Linked DNA regions of Sus scrofa. The protein of the gene in region 2 purifies or fractionates together with the protein of the main gene of each other region. This does not show direct contact. Links are inferred from orthologs where the notes say so. Each region holds a gene or a part of one and is shown on either strand. Other genes may lie near its edges. The genes, in order: MED12L, CDK19 and MED12.

Region 1 (5,545 bases), on a different chromosome or scaffold from region 2:
TTTTATGTGCTAGGTGGGAGGAATGTTTGACACAGTGCAGAGGAGCACCCAGTGGACAACAGACTGGGCCCTCCTCCTCCTTCAGATCATTACTTCTGGAACCGTCGACATGCACACTAACAAGTATGTTCTTATCACTTCATGTTGGCTTTGCTGCATGCATTTATGCGTGTGTGCCTGCGTGGTGGAAGCTCTGATGTACTGATTACAACTTCTTCCACATCTTATATCCTTAGGTACCACTAAAAAAATTCTGTGCCCAGGAGTTTCCGCTGTGGTGCAGTGGGTTAAGAACCCGACTACAGCAGCTCAGTTTGCTGCAGCAGTGTGGGTTCAATCCCTGGCCGGGCACAGTGGGTTAGAGGATCCAGCATGGCTGCATCTGTGGCTCGGGTTCAATCCCTGGCCTGGGAACTTCCATATGCTGCAGATGTGGCCATTAAAAAAAATTAATTCTGTGCTTTATATAAAAATGCTCAGTTAAGAGTATCTTGGTTTTGGTTTTAAGGTGAAAATATTTTCTTTCTCCTCTTAGTGAATTATTCACAACAGTTCTTGATATGCTGGGTGTTTTAATCAATGGAACACTGGCCTCTGACCTATCAAATGCATCCCCAGGGGGATCTGAAGAAAACAAACGTGCATACATGAACTTAGTAAAGAAACTGAAAGTAAGTTTGTGATCTGAGCTTCTGTTGTATGTGGTTTGTTATCTAGTGCATATTGTCTTTTTTATCACTCTTTAAATCAGGTGCTATTTATTGCATTCAACTTAATACAATGTAATTATTTTGCTATCTGCTTAACTTCAGCTTCCCAGTACCCAAAAGTTGTAAGTATATATATAGCTGAAGATTGAAGATTTTTCTTAAAAAAAATTTCATAAAACATACACAATTTTTTAAGGAACTTGAGAAATCCATTATCAAATCTATAAGCAAAATACTAACATTAGATTTAGGATAAATTTGTTCTTAGACTGGCAACATGCAGTTGAAAAATACACATTTGCATTGATATTTCTGGATTCGATTCATTTGACTAGGCACTTTTTTGACAATTTTTGAAATAACACAGTTTTTGAAATAAACTGTAAATAAACAATTCAGAAAAGAAATCAAGATATCTGATGACCTTACTAATAAAATAACCAATGGTTACCTTGTAGTCTGACCCTGGATTGGAGAACGTGTTCCATGCTGCAGCTCCTGCCTTCTGGTTGCAAATACTACTCTGGATTTTTGTCATTTCAGCACTGTGATGTTTGTTGTGTAATAAGAGGGTCTTTATACATGTTCTATTTTCTACTTAAATAGAAGAAGTGAAACACACTCACAAACTGTCAATGAGAGCTGCGCCATAGACCATGTTTAAGGTTAAAGAACATTCCAGCTATAAAAAAAGGAAATGCTTCACAGGGGAACTTCCTTATAACTTTTACCTTCATTATAATTTCTGTTCCACTTCTCTCTCTCTTTTTCTTTTTTTTAGAAAGAACTGGGAGACAAGCGGTCAGAAAGTATTGACAAAGTTCGACAGTTGCTGCCTTTGCCAAAACAGACATGTGATGTTATCACTTGTGAACCTATGGGTTCCTTGATTGACACGAAGGGAAACAAAATTGCTGGATTTGACTCTATAGATAAAAAACAGGCAAGAGTAAATGTTTGTTTCTCATATATATATATATATATATAAATACATGAACTTAAAAAAAGACAAAATACGTTTCCTTGTCTTCCTACAGGACATATAAAACATCTTAAGTTTATTATTTCTTGATTTTTTAAAACATATCCTTGTCATTTGAATGCAGTGGTCATTGACATTATTATACAAATAGGTCAGATCTTTGAAGATCTTCATTTAAAACTTTCCCTGAGTTTAAGTGAATTTCTAAAGCCCAACACGGGAAAACTAAGTACAAGCTTAGTATAAAAGAAATACGGAAGATCACGTTTGATTTTACTGCAGAACTGGAAATAGAATACATTTAGTGAATGAGAAAATTCTTATTCTTATGTCTTGTAAGCTGTTTTGAGTAAACAATTCTTTTTAAAGTGATAGCACCTTATTTTCTTATCAAACAATATTGAATGAACACTTGATTTATATATGATATTAAACAAGTTTCTCTAAAACACAAGGAAAATGGTCTGCTATTCTTTCAGGGAACATTGAGCAACCACAGGTGTCTGAAATCACAGAGATGTAAGACAGAGCTCCTACCCTTAAGGGGAAGTAGATAGACAGTTACACTCCAGTGAGGTTTGTGTGTCCTGGTATGGAGTGCTAGGGGACAACGGGAAGAGGCCATCACACTCAGATGAGGGGTAGGTCGTCAGAGCCAGATCCTCAGGAAGACCGACACTTGAATAATTTTGGAAGTTTAAGAATTAGCCAGGAGGTAGGGCAAAGTGTGATACAGGTACAGGGAAGTGTTTTGCAAAGGCATGAGAGACTGTGTCTCGTAGGCAAATGCAGTGCTGGAGTAATTGGAGCGCCCTGAGTGCTGATAACCATATAGTTGTGGAGAGAGGATAAAGCTAGAGTCAGGGGCAAGTTGAGTTTGCAGTGTCAGTGGGCTCTCCAGTGGTGACGCATCTGGAAGCCATGCGGACATGTGGTCTTGGCACCCAGGAAAGAGGTGTAATGTCAAGAAAGATACTAAGAAACAGTCAAAATGTGGGTGAGTGGAAGAGTGTGTATGGTTAGGAAATGGGAGCGTTCATATGGAAGGCTTTGAGCAGTTATTTGCTCAAATTACTATGCCAGTGCAAGCACCAATTAATATTAAAAATAAGACACTTTTGTTTTCAGAAACAGAAAAACATTTGCTCTTCTAAACACAGTAGAGATAAGCTTGAATTGAAGGGCCTTATGTGTACCTGTTGGTACAAGTTAGTTCTATAGAATATTACTTAACTCATCAGAGACTGCCTAATTAAGGACATGAAAGGGACCTGTACTGAATCAAGTCTATACATGTTTGGATTGAAGTTAATATGAGCCCAACTAGAGGTGGACTCTAACTTGACTCCCAAGTTTTGTTTTATCTTAAAAACATAATAAATTCCAACGGTTTTTGATTTAGTACAGTAAGATCAACTTTGTAGTGTTTTTTTAGATTTTTTTTTTTTTTTTTTTTTTGCCAAAAAAATCTAACTGGAAAAAAATATCATTTACAGTAAAATTACTTGACTGTCTGGTATTACAGCCTGAACAGACTGCCTTGTGGTAGAAAGGACCAGACTGCCTTGTGGTATAACTGGACTTAAGGGTCTGGATTCTAGCTGCTGCTCTCAGGGACTCATTAGGTAGCCTTTCTGCTGTGTGCTGGGTTCTCTAAGCCCCCTGCCCCCTGCCCAAGCCAGAATGTCCTCTGAATCTGAAAAAGGTCTGAGGGTGTGGTCACAGCGCCTCATTTCACCACAGGGTCTCCAGGTCTCTACGAAACAGAAGGTGTCCCCGTGGGATTTGTTTGAGGGTCAGAAGAACCCAGCCCCTCTGTCCTGGGCCTGGTTTGGAACTGTCCGCATGGACCGGAAGGTGGTCAAGTACGAGGAGCAGCATCACCTCCTTCTGTATCACACGCACCCCATGCCCAAGCCCCGAAGTTACTACCTCGAGCCGCTGCCCCTGCCTCCCGAGGAGGAAGAAGAAGAGCCCACATCTCCCATCTCTCAGGAACCAGAGAGGAAATCAGCTGAGCTATCAGATCAGGGAAAAACCGCAACAGATGAAGAGAAGAAGACAAAAGGAAGGAAGCGCAAGACGAAATCCAGCTCCAGAGTTGATGTGAGTACGGGAAGTTAGGGGATCTTGGGTGCAGTCACTTCTTGTAGATTTACTGGTTCCTGAATTACGTCCCTAAGCAACACTCCTCATTGCAGTATAAGCCTGTTTGTCAGTTATCCTAACAAAGCTCAGCTGGAATTAACAGACCAGCAACCAACAGCTACTTGTCACAGCCAATAGGATCCTAGCTTTTGATTTTTCCTCCTACTTTTCACAACTTTAACTTTAGGCTTTGATTGTGAATAATATTTATTTAATATCTCACTGCCTCAATTTCTCAAATTTGAAACTTGAATTTTTTGACCTATGAAATCTCATCCTCTTACATGTTTTTTCTCATTTTTAAAAATTTTATTGTTGATTTACATGTTAGGATAATTTCTGCTATACTAACAAAGTGATTCAGTTATACGTATACACACGTTCATTCTTTCTGAGATTCTTTCCCCACATAGATTATCACAGAATATTGTGTAGGGTTCTCTGTAGTGTGTCACTGGCCAGTCATTCCATATACCTCCGTGTACATATGCCAATCCCAAACCCCCAGTCCATCCCTCCTACCCCTTTACGTATTTTTATTATGAGAAATGTCTAAAATATTTTTTGTATTTTGGGCAGTTGATATCAATAGTAAATTATCATAAAAAACTGTTTGCTTTCCCTAGACAAAGACCTATCTAATGTATTCAGTAGGACGTTTCTGAGATGTCATAGTTTACCATTCCCTCTTACTCTCCTCTATATTCTATCTCTTTACCACATTTTCAGACTTTATGAGAGATAAACAGTTTTTTGTTTCCTTTTTTTGGGGGGAGGCTACGCATGACAATGCTGGATCCTTAACCTGCTAGGTCACAGGGAACTCAAAAATAAATGTAATTTAAAATAGTTTTACTTCTTGTTTCCCTGTTAGCCTTCCTTACCAAGAACAATGTTTTCTTGATGACAGAAATCTAAGAGAAATTGAGAAATAACTTTCTAGAATTTATGTGTAAAATATTTTTCCAATTAAATTCACTAGAAAAATACTCGAGAGGGTCTTTGTGACATTTTTCTAAAAATTAAGAGTGGTTTTGTTGTGCAGTAAAATAAATAGTCTCAACTTGTCATTCAGTCATCATAGCTAATGATTGTTGCTCACCTATTTTTTTTTTAGCAGTAGGAGGAAATTTTAATTGGATATATTGCAGGGAACTTCCTTCATGCTTCAGGGCTAGACTAGAGAAGGTGGGACAGTAGGGGAATTGAGACATTCAGGTGTGATCCTTACAGACTTTGCGGCTACTCTAAAGAAGAGAAAGCCCTGGGCAAGAGGTGTGATGAGGAGACAGGGGAACAGGATAGAAGGGGAGTCTTTGGAGTGCTGTCTGTAAAAGCGTAACTAAGACACTGTCTAGGCCGGAGACCTGTTTGGAAGTGCTGTGGGCCTTCCTGGCTAATTTTCATCCAGGTCCTAGTTATCAGAAACCTTCTAAGATGAAGTGATCGGGAGACTCAGCAAATGAAGATGCTTTTTTGGTTGTGGGTGATGGTCACTCTTGGTGTTCTAAATGTGCTTTTAGTATTTTAAGTATGTTAAACACAGAAAAGATCCTGTTCCATCTTCCCACACTGTAGCCAAGTGCCTTTTAAGTCAAGGGAGAGTTTTAACTTGACTGAGTGTTTTGCAAAGAATATGTTGGTTCTCTTGCCCTCTGTCTTCCCGTTTGTCAAAATAAAATAGCCTTGTCTGCTGGGATAGGAG
Region 2 (5,545 bases):
AAATAAAAGTAAAAGGAAATAAATAAGTTGACTTTAAAAATTGAATGCTGAATAAACATGATCTGATAAGATGCTTTATAATATATAGAGACTTTGAATTACTTTGAAAACTGTTCAGCTCCTAAACTATAGCAAATCTGGAAGGGAATGATTCAGAAAATGACAAATAATTCATCTTAACTTGAATACTAGGAATAAGAAGAAACAACCACAATGGGAATTGAGTAATAGGATTTCTCAACTTCAAGACATTTTATATTATGATAGAAACAACTAACTTAGAATCTTGAGTTAACCCAGTAATCAGCTGATTCAACATAAAGACCAAAGCCATGTAGAGAGACTCCATTTCTACATAAACTTTAAAGTTTCTTTCCATTGCCAAACTTAATGGCTACCTTGCCAATAAAAATGTTCCTGGTATTGGAGGAAAAAAAATTTTTTTTCACATGTGGCAGAGATTTTTTTTTTTTTTTGGTCTTTTGTCTTTTTGTTGTTGTTGTTGTTGTTGTTATTTCTTGGGCCGCTCCCGCGGCATATGGAGGTTCCCAGGCTAGGGGTCGAATCGGAGCTGTAGCCACCGGCCTACGCCAGAGCCACAGCAACTCGGGATCCGAGCCACGTCTGCAACCTACACCACAGCTTACGGCAACGCCGGATCGTTAACCCACTGAGCAAGGGCAGGGACCGAACCCGCAACCTCATGGTTCCTAGTCGGATTCGTTAACCACTGCGCCATGACGGGAACTCCAGATTTTTTTAATTTAAAAAAAATTTATTTTTTTAATTTAGTCTTTTTAGGGCTGTACCCTTGGCATATGGAGGTTCCCACGCTAGAAGTCAAATTGGAGTTGTAACCACTAGTCTACACCACAGCCACAGCATTGCCAGATCCAGGCTGTGTTTGTGACCTGTACTTCAGCTCATGGCAACGCTGAATCCTTAACCCACTGAGCGAGACCAGGGATTGAACCTGCATCCTCATGGATACTAGTCAGATTCATTCCTGCTGAGTCACAACGGAAACTCCCACAGAGTTTTTTTTTTTTTTTAAATAAAATACCTAATGTTGGCATATTTACTTTATATGCTACTGCTGAGAATGAATGCTTCTCAAACTGTGATGTACCTACAGATCACCTAGAGACCTTGTTAAAAATACAGATTGTGGGAGTTCCCATTGTGGCACAGTGGAAACAAGTCCAACTAGGAACCACGAGGTTGTGGGTTCGATCCCTGGCCTTGCTCAGTGGGTTAAGGATCTGGCATTGCCATGACTGTGGTGTAGGTTGCAGACAAGGCTTGGATCTGGCATTGCTGTGGCTCTGGCATAGGCCAGCAGCTACAGCTCCGATTAGACCCCTAGCCTGGGAACCTCCATATGCCGTGGATGTGGCCCTGAAAAGGACAAAAGACAAAAAAAAAAAAAAAAAGAAGAAAGAAACCAACCCTGCCTTCAACTTGATGATCTCAGATCCTAGACTCCAGAATTGTGAGGAAATAAATTTCTATTAAGAAAAATGCAGATTGTGATCCAGAATCTGGGATAGGGCCTAAGAATCTGCATTCCTGGTGCAGGCTCTCAGGTTCCATGTTGCTGGTCTGAGGGCCAGGTTTGTGTGGCAAGGTTCTCAAGCACATAAAAGGCTTTTGAAATGTACATATCCTTTGACCTAATAATTCTAAGAATTTATCTGAAGAAAGCAATAAAGCAGCCACACACAGCTAAAATGAGGCACTTAAGGCTTTCACAGAGCTTAACTAACTGCCCAAGATCACACAACTGGTAAATGACTGAGTCAGTGTCTGGTAGGGGGTCTCTGATTCTCACTGCCATGTAGTTCTCTCTCCCTATCATGTTACCAGATTTACCTACAAGGACCTGCATTTTGTAACTTTTGTGAAACAAACATCATTAGTAACAGTAAAAAATATACAGCTACTACAAATAATAAGTTGAAAGACCATTTGGCAAGGAAAAACTTTTATAAAACAACAGTAAATTAAAAAAATTAGGACAATTTATATGGTATGTTTCTAATTTTATAAGAATGAAACAAAAATGCCTCCGTATTTATATCATATATATATCTATGTCTAGAAAAAAAATGCCAAAGGAAAATGATCAGACCCTTGACAGTGTTTTCTTTATTGCTGAATAGCTTGATTAAATGAGTGATTTCAATTTTTTCTTAATATTTTTCTATATTCCCTAAGGGTTTTTTAACCAAAAATATAAACTACTGTTTTTTGATCTTTTTATTTGGAAATGTTTTATATATAGGAAAGAATTATATATGCTTGAAATATGTAGCCTATTTAGAACAATAAAATGAATACCCATTTACTCACTCTATACCATATCTGATAGAGAGTATCTACCTAGGAAGGGAATTGCTGAGTCATAAGATATTCATATTTTCACCTCTAGTGGTTAATGCATACTTATTTTCCAAAGTGATTGGAACAATAGAAACGTTTACATGCAGTGTGTAGCAATTATTTCTTCACATATTTACCAACATTTGGTTACCTGTTCTTTTCTCATTGGTAAAATCAACAGCTTAAATTAACACATACCTTACAGGAAAACCATCCTGGCATTTTCCATTAAAAATGTAAATTGTGGAGTTCCTATTGTGGCTCAGCGGTAATGAACCTGACTAGTATCCATGAGGATGCGGGTTCAATCCCTGGCCTCGCTCAGTGGGTTAGGGATCTGGTGTTGCCGTGAGCTGTGGTGTAGGTCACAGATGTGGCTTGGATCCTGCGTGGCTGTGGCTGTGGTGTAGGCCTGCAGCTGCAGCTCTGATTCAAGCCCTAGTCTGGGGAACTTGCATAAGCCACACATGTGGCCCTAAAAAGCCAAAAAAAAAAAAAAAAAAAAAAAAAAAAAGAAAAGAAAGTAAATTGTGTGAGTGTTCTCAATAATGTGTGATTGTCATGCCTTTGCAGATACGCCAACAGTAGCCTCATAAAGTACATGGAGAAACACAAGGTCAAGCCTGACAGCAAAGTGTTCCTCTTGGTAGGTGCGCCTCTCCCAGACTGGGAAGTAGGATCCTTAGCACAGCCCTCACCCCACCCCCCCTTACTGTGGGATTGTCCCAGCTTTTCCTCCTCTTTACAAAGAAAAGAAAGAGGAGGATATTGGAGCAAAATTAAGTCTTTTGAGATGTCACCCTTAATTTTTAGCCTTAATTTTTGCTAATGGTTTATCAGCATAAAAATCATTAAATTCTAAAAGGGCTTCAATATTAACGATAAGTGCCAATTTCATGTAAATGTGTGTCTTCTAATGATTTCTGCCAGTTTCACATTAATGTTGCCGTGAGCTGTACAAAATGGTGTTTGATATTAATTCTGTTAGACATTAACACAAAAGTCAAAACATGGACTTGTAAACAAACTTTGCACGTACTATCAATTTCTTACGTATTATTCTAGCTTCAGAAACTCCTCACTATGGATCCAACCAAGAGAATTACCTCAGAGCAGGCTCTGCAGGATCCCTATTTTCAGGAGGACCCCTTGCCGACATTAGAGTATGTATCCTTCCTTTTCTGCGTGCTTGGCTCCGAGGTGAAGATGTTGGATGGTGGCTGAAAGCAAGAGACGCTCTTGTTACTAAAGTATTTTACTTTCTTCGTTAATACTACCTCAGAGAAAAAGTAGTCAAGAGACAGATTCTGTGTTTTGACACAGGCAAAGCTGTAGGGAGGTGTGAATGAAAGCAAGTATTTTAGGAATGACCATTAATCAGTTTTACAGATAAAAACTAAAGCTAAGACAGATGGGACTTTCACAGACGGCTCAGCCAGCACAGTGTACACCAAACCAATGTAGGGAACTGAAATTTAAAAATTCTGTGTTATCTGCTGTGCTGCCAAACCCCTCCATTTCCTCAGCCTTGTTACACCCACATGTATACATTGTGCTTGGATTTATTAGAGGTGCAGCTTTTCCTGAGGGACAAAAAAATTATTTTCATTGTTGAAGCAAATGCACATTTAGTTATTTTCAGTCCTGATGAAGTGTGAATGGAGAAAGTTCTGTGTCTTACATGTCAACTAGCTAATAATCGCAGCTAAGATTTGCCATTGAAAGTGGAACTAGTGTAAAACTTAGACGACAAATTGTCCTTTTCTTATTGCTTAAATTATGTTGAGAGGCCAATACCAGCCACAGATGAAGAGTAGGAAATAAGGGGGGAAAAGTACAATTTTAAATTAACAAGGTCAATGATAAGTGTAGATTTTAGGTCATGACATGATTTTTTTTTTTTAAATGATTTTTAGTGTGTTTGCTGGCTGCCAGATTCCATATCCCAAACGAGAATTCCTTAATGAAGATGAGCCTGAAGAGAAAGGTGACAAGGTATAAACTATACTAAGGGAAGGGTAATCTAATAATTCCTATAAAACTACCTTTTATTTAATTATGTATTTACTTTATTGTAGATGTACTTTGCCATTTGAAAGATTCTTTCACAGATAAATGAAATTCCAGATTTGCTTTATACATATTTTATTCCCTGATTTTTTTTTTTTATGGCCACACCCACGACATACGGAAGTTCCTGGGCCAGGGACTGAATCCAGGTCCTTTAACCCACTGCACCAGGCCTGGGATCGAACCTGTGCCTCCCCAGCAACCTGAGCCACTGCAGTCGGATTCTTAACTCGTTGTGCCACAGTGGGAACTCCCATTCTCTGGTTCTTAATTTTTGCCTTTTTTGTTTGTTTTGTTCGGTGTCATTACCATCACTTTACGCAGGCTGCTTTTAAAGCATCATTCAGTCCTTTGATCGTAACTGACTTCACTCCACACAGCCCTACTTTTCCAAATTGATTGAAAAGACTATTCTAGCTATTTTAATGAGTTGCTGTCTATTTCCTCTGTCCCCGTGGGCCTTCAGTGGGATATCTGTGACTGGTTTGGAGGATTACTATGCAATCTAAATGAACTTTAGAGAATGAGTCCTGTTCAGGGCTCAGCACTTTGACTTTGGAGGATGCTGTATTCCTTGGCCGCTCCATTCTCTGGTCGGTCCAGTCACTATAGTGTCCCACAGAGATCACTCCCCAGTTGCTCATCATATCATATAATGGTAGAGTTAATTTAGTTCCATACCAAGCTTACTTTTTTTTTCCTCTTTATAAGAATCAGCAACAGCAGCAGAACCAACATCAGCAGCCCACAGCCCCTCCACAGCAGGCAGCAGCCCCCCCACAGGCACCCCCACAGCAGCAGAACAGCACCCAGACCAACGGGACGGCAGGAGGGGCTGGGGCCGGGGCCGGGGGTGCCGGGGCAGGGCTGCAGCACAGTCAGGACTCCGGCCTTAATCAGGTGCCTCCAAACAAGAAACCGCGGCTAGGGCCTTCAGGCACAAACTCAGGCGGGCCTGTTATGCCGTCAGATTATCAGGTACCTCCCCAGATTTTATACTCTTTAATGTTCATACTGTTAAAAAGGAAAATTCAACTGAGTAAATTTTAAAGGTCTTATTGGCTTTATTCAGTGATTCATGTATCAGGCAGTA
Region 3 (5,545 bases), on a different chromosome or scaffold from region 2:
AACCAAGCATACTTTGTCCCTCAACAGTTTGGGGGGCGTTGGGGGGTTTTGAGTCATTCCTATTCCTGCCTATTTCAGGTACCCTAGGAGCATCTTACCTTAGATGTGTCCCTCTCGCTTTCTGCCCATGTCTTCCATGCTCCCTTACTCATCTTTTCTCATTCCCTCCCTCCAGCGGACCCCCGAAGTGAGAGTGAGCGGGTGGAATTCTTTAACTTGGTACTGCTCTTCTGTGAACTGATTCGACACGATGTTTTCTCCCACAACATGTACACTTGCACCCTCATCTCCCGAGGGGACCTTGCCTTTGGAGCCCCTGGTCCCCGGCCTCCCTCTCCCTTTGATGACCCTGCTGATGACCCTGAGCGCAAGGAGGCTGAGGGCAGCAGCAGCAGCAAGCTGGAGGTGAGCTGGCTTTTCCTCACCCTAGATTGTTTCTTCCTGTACAGTCCCCTCTTCCTGGCTCCTGAAGTAATCTGAGGATCCTTTACCCAGTGATGAGGGTAGGATTTGCTTAGCGCTTCATAGTTTATTTACCAAGCACTCTCACATCATTTTATTATTATTATTATTATTATTTGATCCTCACAACTGCCTCGTTGAGGTATTGTTATCATTTTTTTGTCTTTTTTTTTTTTAGGGCCACACCCAAAGCATACGGAGGTTCCCAGGCTAGGGGTCAAATCAGAGCTACAGCTGCTGGCCTAGGCCACAGCCACAGCACCACGGGATCCAAGCTGCGTCTGTGACCTACACCACAGCTCATGGCAACACTGGATCCTTAACCCACCAAGCAAGGCCAGGGATCGAACCTGCATCCTTATGGATACTAGCTGGGTTTGTTACTGCTGAGCTACAACGGGAACTCCTGTTATTCTCATTTTAAAGCTGAATGAGTAAATCAACTGTAATGGAAAAAATAAAAATCATAAAATAAAAAAAGTAAAATAACGCTAAATGAAACCAAGGCCTATGGGGGCTAAGTGATCAGTCAAGGCTTGGATGTGGATCTTGTGCTCTTCCCAGTATGGTGTCCTGTCTCCAACTTCTGAGTCGACTTTTCTGGATGGTGGGGAGCAGCTCCTTGGGGCTAATGCGACTCTGCTTCTGTTCTCTGCCCTCAGGATCCAGGGCTCTCAGAGTCTATGGATATCGACCATAACTCCAGTGTGATCTTTGAGGACATGGAGAAGCCTGATTTCTCAGTAAGTTATATCCTGGTGTGGAAGAATCCAGCTCCCAGACACCTCCCACTGTGCCACTTTGGGGAGTTTCTTTATGCCCCCTCTTCCGTTTTGTCTTCCTCTAACCGTTCTGCCCTTTCGCCTTTCTCGTAGTTGTTCTCCCCTACTATGCCCTGTGAGGGGAAGGGCAGTCCGTCCCCTGAGAAACCAGATGTTGAGAAGGAGGTGAAGCCCCCACCCAAGGAGAAGCTAGAAGGGACCCTTGGGGTTCTTTATGACCAGCCACGGCATGTGCAATATGCCACGCACTTTCCCATCCCCCAGGTACCGTTCCCCACCACTTTGTGACCCTCTGTTCTGAGCCCAGGTTTCTGTCCAAGGACTGTGCCATGGGGTTGGAGCTGTTCTTGAGGGTGTGGTATGCTGGGCAGGGCTTGAGCACTGGGATGCTGAGGGGCGTGGAGCATGCTTTTTAAGAGGAGGGAGAGCAGTTCGTGCCGGAGTCTGATGGTGCCGCTGGGATGCAGGAGGAGTCATGCAGCCATGAGTGCAACCAGCGGTTGGTCGTACTGTTTGGGGTGGGAAAGCAGCGAGATGATGCCCGCCATGCCATCAAGAAAATTACCAAGGATATCCTGAAAGTTCTGAACCGCAAGGGGACAGCGGAAACTGGTGGGTTTGAGGTGCCTTAAACAGATCTCCCCCAAAGAGTGCCCTAGTCAGTCTCCCCTTCCCCAGCATAGGGAACTCCCAGTCATGTCCCGATGTCCTGTCTCTTGGAGTCTCCTGAGAGCTCTAGTCCTTTTGAAACTTCCCCCCTCATTCCCCCCCTCTGCAGACCAGCTTGCTCCTATTGTGCCTCTGAATCCTGGAGACCTGACATTCTTAGGTACCTCACAGTAAGCCCCATACTGCCCGCCCTCCCTCTCCCTTCCCTCCCTCAACCTAGCACCTCCCTGTACGTATTCCTCTAAGGTCCACATAGTCTGTGGTCCTCCAAACCTGTGCTTCACTGTCCCCTTCCCTTCAGCCCTCCCCCACCCCTTCCTTGAGCCTCCCTTCACCTCTTCCCTCTTCCTTCCTTCCCTCTCTCCCACCCTCCCGTCCTTCCCCTTTCCCTCCCCACCCATAGCCTTCTCTCCGTACCCCCCTCCCCACTCCCAGTCACCTAGTTACATCCCCTGTCCTGACTGGTCCTCTTCAACTGTCCCCTCAGGTGGGGAGGATGGGCAGAAGCGGCGACGCAACCGGCCTGAAGCCTTCCCCACTGCCGAGGATATCTTTGCTAAGTTCCAGCACCTTTCGCATTATGATCAACACCAGGTCACAGCTCAGGTGGGCCTAAGTCCAGTCCCCTCCCCATGTTCTGGCATCCTGTCCCGTCTTCCTTTCCTTCTGATCTTTTTTTCCACCCCCAAGCAGACTAAGCCTCCCGGTCGCATCCCTGTCTACTAGCATCCTTTTCCTGCTTCCCTGGTTCTTCCCACTTGGCTCCACTCCCATCTCACTCCCACTGCCCTTAGGTCTCCCGGAATGTTCTGGAGCAGATCACAAGCTTTGCCCTTGGCATGTCGTACCACTTGCCTCTGGTGCAGCATGTGCAGTTCATCTTCGACCTCATGGAATATTCACTCAGCATCAGTGGCCTCATCGACTTTGCCATTCAGGTGGGGAAGTTGGGGGGATGGGGGCGGAGGAAGGAGTTTGTGCTGTACAGGGTCAGAGGAACAAGAGCAGAGGCTCAAGCCAGTGTCCCAGGCGATTTGGAGGGACTGGAAGACTAGCATGGGGGGAGTGGCCCATGGCCCCTGAGATAAGCCAGCAGGAATAGAGACTCAAGTGCTCCCTGGGGAGGCCCGAGAGACAGATTAGAGCACTGGGCACAGATTGTCCTCCCACTGTGGAGTTCAGAGGATTGCATCCTGGGGACTGGTTAGGTTATTGCTGTGGGAGTTCCTCTTGTGGTTCAGCAGAAGTGACTCTGACCAGCATCCATGAGGACGCAGGTTCGATCCCTGGCTTCGCTCAGTGGGTTAAGGATCTGGCGTTTCCATGAGCTGTGGTGTAGATCGCAGATGCGGCTCAGATCTGGCATTGCTGTGGCTGTGGTGTAGGCCGGCAGCTGTAGCTCCGACTCGACCCCTAGCCTGGGAACCTCCATACGCCACGGGTGCAGCCCTATTAAAAAAAAAAAAAAAAAAAAAAAAAAAGGACTTCCCGTTGTGGCTCAGTGGTTAACGAATCCAACTAGGAACCATGAGGACACGGGTTCGGTCCCTGGCCTTGCTCAGTGGGTTAAGGATCCAGCGTTGCCATGAGCTGTGGCATAGGTTGCAGACGTGGCTCGGATCCCGCATTGCTGTGGCTCTGGTTAGGCCGGTGGCTACAGCTCCGATTAGACCCCTAGCCTGGAAACCTCCGTATGCCGCGGGAGTGGCCCTAGAAAAGGCAAATAGACAAAAAAAAAAAAAAAAAGATATTTTAGCTTGTGTCACTAATAAAGGACGGTGACATATGCTCCAGGGCCCTTCCATGCTGAGGCAGCTCCAGTAGTAAGGGGCTCCAGTTTTCTCACAGAAAGGGGGGTTATGTATAATACCCAAGGCCTTTTCTCATCCCTCAACCCCTACTCTCTCTGCTAGCTACTGAATGAACTGAGTGTAGTTGAGGCCGAGTTGCTCCTCAAATCCTCGGATCTGGTGGGCAGCTACACCACCAGCCTGTGCCTATGCATCGTGGCTGTCCTGCGGCACTATCACGCCTGCCTCATCCTCAACCAGGACCAGATGGCTCAGGTCTTTGAGGGGTAAGCAGGGCTTCCAAATAACCAAAACCCTCAGGGCCCTGGTGAAGGCCAGTGGAAGTGGCCTGCGAAGAACGTGTGGGGCTGGCTCTCACTATAAGGAAGTGCGTGCCATTCAGGCGGGGAGGGGAGAGTATTGCCAAGGGACAGGAATCTTGGCATCCCGGCCCCCATTGCTCCGGGTGCACTTCCTGACCTTGCCCCCTCGCAACAGGCTGTGTGGCGTCGTCAAGCATGGGATGAACCGGTCTGATGGCTCCTCCGCAGAACGCTGTATCCTTGCTTATCTCTATGATCTGTACACCTCCTGTAGCCATTTAAAGAGCAAATTTGGGGAGCTCTTCAGGTAAGAGAGGTGGAAGGTAAGGGGTAGAGAGTGGGATCTCATCCCATCTCCTTCCCGTTACTGCCCAACTCAGGAGCAGAGCACAGCCCAGGACCCTGCTGTCTCTGCAGAGTCTTTGGGGGACTGTGTCGTCTGCGTGTTCTTGCTTCCTGAGAGCAGGCCTCTTTCCTCATCAGCCTTTCCTCCAGCCTGTGTCTGTGGGGCCTACGCTCCTCCCTGCCCCGACTCCCCACCACCACCACCTCCAGAGGCCCCTGGGCCTTATTCTCACTGGGTTCCTTTCCTGCCCAGTCCGTCTGCTTTGTCCCATATCCCTTTTTCTGGCCCTAAGGCGCCTGGTCCCTCACTTTCTCCTTTTATTTTTCTTTTCTCCCCTTCCCTGACCAACCGTCTAGCTCACCAGCCCTTCCTCAACCCTGCTCTCTCCTTTCCCCCACCCCTGCAGCGATTTCTGCTCCAAAGTGAAGAACACCATCTACTGCAATGTGGAGCCGTCAGAATCTAACATGCGCTGGGCACCCGAGTTCATGATAGACACCCTGGAGAACCCTGCCGCTCACACCTTCACCTACACGGGGCTAGGCAAGAGTCTTAGTGAGAACCCTGCTAACCGCTACAGCTTTGTCTGCAATGCCCTTATGCACGTCTGTGTGGGGCACCATGATCCCGATAGGTATGGGGCGTACGGAGTGACAACTTGGGCACCACGCTCCCGCCTGATATTGGGAGGGATGAGATGTCCGGGAGGTACCGCAACCTTGGTTTTGGCTAGGGTGGAGATGCAAAGTTAATGAGTCTGAGGTTTTGCCAGAACAAGGTCTTTCCTGAGGGCATTTGTACTTTTCCCCAGGGTGAATGACATCGCAATCCTGTGTGCAGAGTTGACCGGCTATTGCAAGTCTCTGAGTGCAGAGTGGCTGGGAGTGCTTAAGGCCTTGTGCTGTTCCTCTAACAATGGCACTTGTGGTTTCAACGATCTCCTCTGCAATGTAGATGTGAGACTGGGGGTGGGGGCACACTGGGGCACCGGGCAGAGGGCTGCTCCCAGTAGTCAAGTGAGCGGAGGGACAGTTTTTGCAGAGTGGAGGCCAAGCGCTCTGAGTAGGCACCCTCCCTCCACGCTGAGTCCTGGTGTCTTTTTCCTTACAGGTCAGTGACCTGTCTTTTCATGACTCCCTGGCTACTTTTGTTGCCATCCTCATCGCTCGGCAG

What was found.
Region 1: the proteins of CDK19 (region 2) and MED12L purify together in Homo sapiens (affinity purification with mass spectrometry; 3 studies listed by BioGRID and IntAct, counting the BioPlex papers as one, with this or other methods). This does not show direct contact. The link is inferred for Sus scrofa from reciprocal best matches to the Homo sapiens genes CDK19 and MED12L.
Region 3: the proteins of CDK19 (region 2) and MED12 purify together in Homo sapiens (affinity purification with mass spectrometry; 10 studies listed by BioGRID and IntAct, counting the BioPlex papers as one, with this or other methods). This does not show direct contact. The link is inferred for Sus scrofa from reciprocal best matches to the Homo sapiens genes CDK19 and MED12.

The regions. Positions count from the first base shown.
Region 1 is NC_010455.5:91,570,785-91,576,329, forward strand, and holds part of MED12L (mediator of RNA polymerase II transcription subunit 12-like protein), read left to right. Parts: intron 1-13; coding exon 14-123; intron 124-535; coding exon 536-671; intron 672-1,161; exon of another isoform or gene 1,162-1,411; intron 1,412-1,491; coding exon 1,492-1,653; intron 1,654-3,435; coding exon 3,436-3,798; intron 3,799-5,545. UniProt on the Homo sapiens protein: May be a component of the Mediator complex, a coactivator involved in the regulated transcription of nearly all RNA polymerase II-dependent genes.
Region 2 is NC_010443.5:76,597,066-76,602,610, reverse strand, and holds part of CDK19 (cyclin-dependent kinase 19), read left to right. Parts: intron 1-2,955; coding exon 2,956-3,028; intron 3,029-3,447; coding exon 3,448-3,545; exon of another isoform or gene 3,546-3,602; intron 3,603-4,298; coding exon 4,299-4,377; intron 4,378-5,163; coding exon 5,164-5,430; intron 5,431-5,545.
Region 3 is NC_010461.5:57,156,444-57,161,988, forward strand, and holds part of MED12 (mediator of RNA polymerase II transcription subunit 12), read left to right. Parts: intron 1-175; coding exon 176-405; intron 406-1,124; coding exon 1,125-1,205; intron 1,206-1,337; coding exon 1,338-1,508; intron 1,509-1,711; coding exon 1,712-1,856; intron 1,857-2,022; coding exon 2,023-2,073; intron 2,074-2,400; coding exon 2,401-2,519; intron 2,520-2,707; coding exon 2,708-2,851; intron 2,852-3,826; coding exon 3,827-3,990; intron 3,991-4,201; coding exon 4,202-4,333; intron 4,334-4,778; coding exon 4,779-5,006; intron 5,007-5,183; coding exon 5,184-5,328; intron 5,329-5,482; coding exon 5,483-5,545. UniProt on the Homo sapiens protein: Component of the Mediator complex, a coactivator involved in the regulated transcription of nearly all RNA polymerase II-dependent genes.